Linked DNA regions of Daphnia pulex. The protein of the gene in region 2 interacts with the protein of the main gene of each other region in a pairwise test. Links are inferred from orthologs where the notes say so. Each region holds a gene or a part of one and is shown on either strand. Other genes may lie near its edges.

Region 1 (3,927 bases), on a different chromosome or scaffold from region 2:
GTTTCAGTTCGTTGCGGCCAACACCTGGGGGACCGATGAGAACGATGGGCCGGGGAACGGCCGGGTACGGCATCAGACGGGCCACTTCCTCGTAAGTGACAATCTCTTGCCGGTCGAAATCTTCGTTCTCTGCCAGAGCGTACATGACTTTTTGAGTGGGACTGCTCCTTTCACTTTTCAAGGAGCCCATCGAGCGGGCCGGACTGCAACCCTTTTCTTTTGGTTTCATTTTTCATTTTTCATTTTTTGGTAGGGGGTCAAAACAGGGTACGGAAGCATCAGCCAAATAACCGAAATAAACACACGGACAAAAGAATAGACGGATCATAAGCAAAAGGGATGAGAATCAAATAGAATCGATCAAGCGTCAACATCAGCCAACCCGCAAACCGAAATCAAACAAACAGAGTCTCTCTAACGTCTAAATCTCTGGTTAAACAAGGAGATTTATCGATTTTTCTTGGATCCCAAACATCAAAGGTATTGATTTCTATTGGATGAGAAGAGCAAAGGGGGAGCGAGCCGACATCAATAAAACTGTTATGATGGCAAACGTAAAAAGAGAAAAAGAGGTCGGTCGAATTCAATAATCAAACAACTGGCTGGTCCTTCTTTTATGGGTGGGTCTACAACTATTCAAATGGTCGAAATGGGCACACAAAAAGTTTGGCAAACGGTCACAATCCTCTTAACTATTTCGTGCACCAGGCCAAATCTTTTTCATAAGACTTTTGTCCTATTTTCATTTAAAAAGAAATCGATAACCATCGCAATGAATAAAAGAGACTCACCTTGCTGATCGGCGTTATTATTAGCCGAGTGGGCCCGTTCGTAAGCGATGCGTTTCTCTTGCAACATTCGGCTGGGAATTAATCCCGCACGCATCTGTTTATCGCCTTCATGTCTCGCCTGCCACCTATTCAACCAAATGATTTATTTTGTCAATTGTCTATATGATAAAACAAAGTTAAAGCCTTTACCAGTAAGGATCGTCCTGACTAACGATATGAATAATATCTCCTCTTCGGAAATCCAGTCCGGCTTCCTTGCACGGCTTCACGGAAGTATACAGACAAAGACAAAAAAAAATGATTGTGCAACAACCACGGCGGCAATTCAAAGCCACAAAGATAATATAATTGATTTATTCGATGCCCAAAACTTACAATGTATCGATCGAGGGCAGCCGTGAAATCAAAAAGCGCTCGAACTCGTACGCGGTTCTCCCTCGACGGCCTTTGACTTTCGCTCGGGATTAATTTGAATGTGATGGTTCCTTCGGCGTTTTGCTGCCAGAAAAAGAGAATCGGAAGGAATTGAAAAGTTATCGAAAAACGCACGAGCCAAAAACTGATGGGGGATCGATCGATAACTTACGAGAATCTCGAGGACATCGTTGGGCGTTTTGCCCAATACATCGATGCCGTTGACCTCGACGACCTCGTCACCGGGATGGATTAATCCCGACCGATCGGCAGCACCGCCATGCATCACACGAGCGATGACAATCTTCCCCGTCCGCTCGTCCGTCTTGATCGTCGCTCCCTATATTGCCACAATCGATTTCAATAAATTTTTTAAAATTTCCAATCATTTCTTTCACGATCAATTGAAGACTGTCGCATTGAAGGATTGCGCTAGTTACAGACACGGAAAAGATGCTACTTACCACTATAGGCTCAGCAGTTTGAGCCTTTTCCAGAATAAGCATTAGGAAAGATAATTGTTCATAACATTATGGAATTGAATTAAACTAGAGTGAAGATGAATGGGAAATAGATTTACCAATGGTTCATTGCTTTTGACCAGCTGAACAATCTTGATAGTCTCTTCGTCTTCATCAACAGTGTCAAATGGAGGTTCAGGTAATTTGGGAACATAATCTTTCTGAGATATGGTATCATGGACCAACAGGAGACTCTGAAATATTTAATAAAAATAGCAATAATTTACTGAAAAACCAAAATACAAAAGCTAGACTTGTTTTAGTGCACATACTTGGAAAGCTGGGCGTTGGAGCAGCAAGATGAGCTCCCGGGAATCCCTGCTTCCACTGCGCTGCACAAAGCTCTGAAGGATTTCAATCACTTCACAAGAGATGTTGAACACATTTGAGACGATGGGAACAATCATCTCTGGCTCGTATTCCAGACCACCATTGGTGTCTGAGGCAGAGTTGGGCTTGCCCACTATAGCACTGATTTTCTTGTGCACCCGAAGCAAGTTTGTCATTCCTTTGGAAGTCAAAACCTGGCTGAGGAAGTTTATGTCTTGGAAATCATCGCCGCCTCGAGTCTGGTGCAGTGTAGCCAGCAGTCTCGACAAATCTATAAGCAAATGAGGTTAATTATGTGCAAAGAGCTATAAACAGGCAGAGCTAAGGAGAAATGTTGCAGCTTACCTTCACTAGGGAGGGACGTCATTTTCACAACGACAAGCTCACGCACAATTGTATCCAATGTATTGCAAATTTACTTTAATGGTCCATCAATACACGGGGAAAAACAAACAAATCCGGTCAAAATATCCTTCAGGCTTCCCTCCCCTCTCAATCCCCGAATTGACAGGCCAAAACTCAATGGCTGAATTGTGCTTGCCGTTTTCACGCAATAAAATTTACTTTCTCTTGAAATATTTTCAAACAATATCATTATTTATTTTTTAAATATTTAAATTGCACTACGTCTAAATTTGGTTGATAAAAACATATAAAAATAAAATGAAAGAAACTTGACAGCGGTCTCTTCAAAGTCGATTCACAATAATCGATAGTACTTCATTTCTCAACCACGCGTATTTTCGTTCTCTTTTAAAGTGTATTGACAATTTTTGGTAACAAATCAAATTTAACTCAATTCTGGTAATAAATAAAGGTTTTTATAGTATTTTGTTACACTTGTTTATAATACGTATATTAACTCTCCCAGATCCCTGCATCTGTCTGTGCAACAGTAAAACCGAAAAATATTCAAGGTCAACATGAGCAAGGCGCAGAAATTCGCTCAAAACAATGCTACAGAGTGGAAAGCTAGAGGATTCAAAAACTCGAATGCTTCAACCACAGAAAGTGCTGGATCCTCGTTTGATGGCTATGGCGGTCAAGAACGTGGAAGGTTTCAAAACAGTTTCGGGTTCAAAGCAGATTCCAGTAGAGGTGCAAAATCTACCTATAATTCTCGCAATTCAAGACAACAAATAGAATATGCTGAAGAAGGTGAAGATAATCAAATTTTAAATAGCCCTATTCAGAAAAAGAAATTTAAGACGAATGAAAAAAGTGATGAGCCATCCACTCATCAAGATTCTTCTGCTTCTCAGCCAATTGAAGGTTCACCCGAAACACCTGTAAAGCCTCCGAAAAAGAAAAAAAAGAAAAATGTAGTTGGAGGTGAAACAACTGGTGATGCTGAGGCTACTGAAGAATCTGGCAAAAGAAAGAAACAGAAATTTCAAGGCTACACCCTATTTATTGGTAATTTGTCATACGACACTACAAAAGAAGATATCCTCCGTCATTTCGCCAAATGTGGGCCTATCAAGAATGTCCGGATTCCGCTGGAAAAGGAAACCAATCAGCCCAGAGGATTTGGTTATATTGAAGTTGAAGAGCACGTTACCTACGAGGTATCTGTCTAATTCTTCCGTTATGGTAAAGCTAAGCTAATTTTTTTTTTTCATTTAGAATGTTTTGAGTATGCACCACACCTTCCTCGCTCGAAGACGAATCAATGTCGAATGTACCTTTGGCGGCAGCAAAACTAGTCAGAAAAGAATGGCCCTGATTAAGGAAAAGACACTAAAGCTGAGGTTCCTCTCGAGAGAAGGCAAAATTAGTTCGGCCAAGCAGCGACCATGGGGGAAATTTTCTCAAAATCAATCCTTTGGTTAATAAGACTTTAAAAAGGTAACATTTCTTTTGTTACCAGA
Region 2 (3,354 bases):
AACTCATAAGGTCTTGGTTGCATACAAGGAGCAAGTCAAGGGTCGCGCCCGTCTTGGTGTTCAAGCATATGCTGATGCCATGCTGGTCATTCCGAAAGTGTTGGCACAAAACGCTGGATTTGACCCTCAAGACTCTATTGTCAAAATGCAACAAGAGTTTGTTGAAGGTGGACCCCTTATTGGTCTTGATCTACAATCGGGCGAGCCGATGATTCCAGCAGATTTAGGAATCTATGATAACTATCGTGTTAAGAAACAGATTCTCCATTCTTGGTAAGTTTCAAAATTATTGTTGATGTTACCAACTTATTTATTTATTTTTATTTTTTTAGCACGGTCATCGCTAGCAATCTGCTTTTGGTAGATGAGATTATGCGTGCTGGTTTGTCCTCATTGAAGTAAATGGCCGTGCCTCAAGGTCCACCGAGTTCCTGAGCAGCAATGGATGACTTTTTTCTAATCAATCTGCTTGAATTCTAATTTCGTTCCGGCTTACCATTTTCGTCCGCTTGAGAAACTAATGTTATTACAATTTGCTAATCACTACTAAAACAGCATTGTTTGATTCCGAAGTTATATTCATTTCAACAAATAAGTCTACAGATCAGTTAACATCAGGTTTTAGCTTAGTTAATGGTTTCATTTAAGAAAAGGTTGCTACTATTTCTTCCATTTTGCAACTTGTGTTCAAAATAAGCAAAAAAACAATTGCAAGGACGAATGAAGGTTTCTCTACATTCATGAGTGATAACGTGTAACCGTCTTTGTCATAGAATTTAACTATGAAATATTTAGCTACACAATATTGAATATTTTTGTAACAGTCAGGATGGGGAATTGGTTACACTATTGATAATACGAGGAGTCAAAATTTGCGATGGGGACGATGATGCTCCTAATTGAGATTTGTTAAAGTGAACTTAGTACGGTTGTCTTCGGCGCGTGGTCCTTTGTTTATCAAAGCGCATTTCCATTTCTTCCAATATTTTTGGTGTGTAACGCACAACTAGTTTCACTGAACCGTGAGCAGCTTTCAGGAGTTCCACAGCTTTCTCGTGATTTTCACCCTCTACCGACTAAAAAAAAAATTAACAGTCAGAGAAAACTTAAATGGAAGAAGTAAGTTTATCAATTTTACCACTCCATTAACAGAGAGCAATTGGTCACCACGCTTTAGACCACCATGTCTGTCTGCAACACCTCCAGGAATGATTCTTGATATGTAAATTGGTGAATTTTGTTCCCTTCCTACAAACATTCATTTGGTAATTATAAAAATTAATTTTCACCATTGCATTCTCAAGGAAAGGATATGCATAAAAATGTATTTATTTTGTTACCTCCCATGACATTGAATCCAAGACCTTCATCAGTTTTGGGGAGTTCTACGACTCGAGGATGGGCATGGCCTTCACTAGCAGCAAAAGCTGCAATTGTAGCTTTGGCTGTGGCAGAAGCTCGGACATCAGGTGATCCTCCCATTTCTACTGTCTCATAAACATGTTCGTAAACTTCTCTGACAGCTCTTAGAAAGTCACTCTGCAGCACCTTGTGAAGAGCAGACAGTTTTGCCGTTGGAACTTCTCCACCTAGTTTTGATTAGAAATTATTATGACCTAGTGCTCTTGATAACTGATATTTTAAAGATTTACTTTTCATCAACTTCTCCAGCAATTCCACAGCTCGGTTTATATCTAGAAGATAAATTTTAAGGGATTAATAAGAGCGTTCCACGACAGCTAGTTGCCTTCAGAAGTAAATGCCGTTTACCTTTGTCGAGAGACAATTGTTCACTTATAGTAGTAGCTGCCATAGTTTATATCAAGAAGTAGAGGTTTGCAATGAGAAAAACTTCAATAAATGTCAAAACTGGGTTAAAAAATGGAAGAATTTTCAGGGCAAAACACACGAACTTTCTGTCAATACATAGGCTCCGCCCTAAAACTGATTTGTCCGGCGATGGATCTGTTCTCCAACGCCCTCTTTAATTACAAAAAGTGTTATATCATAGTTTAAACCTGAAATGTACCGATATATTTTCGAATATTCAACGAGAAATTTTTAATTGTCTAATGTTTAAAAAAAACTGTATTTAAAAATTTCAGGTTAAATAGTAGCTGTATTTGCCGTACCCCGTAATGCTCGGCCAGCCAGAAGCGGTTTCCTCTAGACTAGAAGGTAATCAATAGCATGTGCCATACCCTCTCCAATCCCTCTCCCCGCACCCTTATACCAAGTTCCGCTTACATCTGACTATTCCAAAAGTAGCATCACTTTGTTAGGGTGCTGATGACAGTCCCCCAGATTTATCGAATCGTTTTTCTTTTTCTGCTTTAGCATAAACTTGTTGTCGCTTATTTAACAGTAGAAAACTGATGGAATAGTCAGGCATTGGTACCAGGGTCTTTTGACGTTTCTATTAGGATTTAAACTACTATTGCAATTAAGTATTTTAAAAAATTTCAATGATATACCGATTACGTATTCAGAATGAAAGGATGATACAGAAACATGTCTAAGCACAAGGTCAAAATGAAGAAAACAAATGTGTTTGGGTGTGTCAGTAGGAGTCAGATTGCTAATGTTTTGAAATAGAGTTGTAGTCTGATTTTCATGGAAGTCGATTTAAACTAATCAATTTTTGTCTGATGTGTAGTACTCATCCTCACAAGAGGGGAAGTGGTGGAGGAGGAATTGGCCTAGATTTTTGGTGATGAAATGAGGTCCGAATATCCATTACCCTGTTTCATGTTTTTGAATGTCAAAGTAACGCAACAACTCCAGATTTGCGAATTTTGTTTACGCTTTAATAGGTCAAATGTTGAATTATGACCTAGATGTCTGCCGCATTTGATAGGAGAACACAAGTATCGAAGAGCGGATGAGTGCGTTCGGGACAGAGGACGACGAAAAACAAAACATAAAAAAAAAAGTATTCAGACAAGTTGCCGAGAGATTGATATGGTAATTCACTTGAAAGACGACGGCTGAGTCAACAAATGCTGTGAGCGTCGCGCCGCCCGCTCTTTGGCCGCCCGCCGGGATAGACGAAGAACGCGCCTAGTGCGGACAGGACAGGAGGTACAAATAGCAGTCGGTGTCGATATTAGCTGGCATCGTGTTCTCTTGAACGAGCGAGGTTTAGTCAAGAAAAAGTTACTACACTTAATCTTAACAGTTCTTATCCAGACTATTCATCATCATGAAATCAACCAAAGTTATCACGCTGTTGCTGATTGCATCTTTCGCCATGGTAACGTCAATTACTTTGATTTTTTTCAATTTTCTTAATTTACAGGAATCTCCATATTTCTTTGTGGTTAAAAATAGCAAAAGCTAGGCCCAAGTATATTC

What was found.
Region 1: the proteins of protein lin-7 homolog C-like (region 2) and MAGUK p55 subfamily member 7-like interact in a two-hybrid assay, tested with the Drosophila melanogaster proteins (2 studies listed by BioGRID). The link is inferred for Daphnia pulex from reciprocal best matches to the Drosophila melanogaster genes veli and metro.

What each region holds. Positions count from the first base shown.
Region 1 is NC_060027.1:1,671,163-1,675,089, reverse strand, and holds the start of MAGUK p55 subfamily member 7-like, read right to left. Parts: upstream 2,591-3,927; 5' UTR 2,424-2,590; coding exon 2,402-2,423; intron 2,328-2,401; coding exon 1,999-2,327; intron 1,921-1,998; coding exon 1,786-1,920; intron 1,694-1,785; coding exon 1,670-1,693; intron 1,546-1,669; coding exon 1,378-1,545; intron 1,290-1,377; coding exon 1,167-1,289; intron 1,055-1,166; coding exon 981-1,054; intron 917-980; coding exon 792-916; intron 217-791; coding exon 1-216. Other genes in the region: uncharacterized RNA-binding protein C365.04c-like, read left to right, coding at 2,980-3,624, 3,683-3,889.
Region 2 is NC_060028.1:9,843,045-9,846,398, reverse strand, and holds protein lin-7 homolog C-like, read right to left. Parts: upstream 1,963-3,354; 5' UTR 1,814-1,962; coding exon 1,771-1,813; intron 1,695-1,770; coding exon 1,653-1,694; intron 1,590-1,652; coding exon 1,341-1,589; intron 1,249-1,340; coding exon 1,139-1,248; intron 1,077-1,138; coding exon 921-1,076; 3' UTR 561-920; downstream 1-560. Other genes in the region: T-complex protein 1 subunit zeta-like, read left to right, coding at 1-273, 333-402.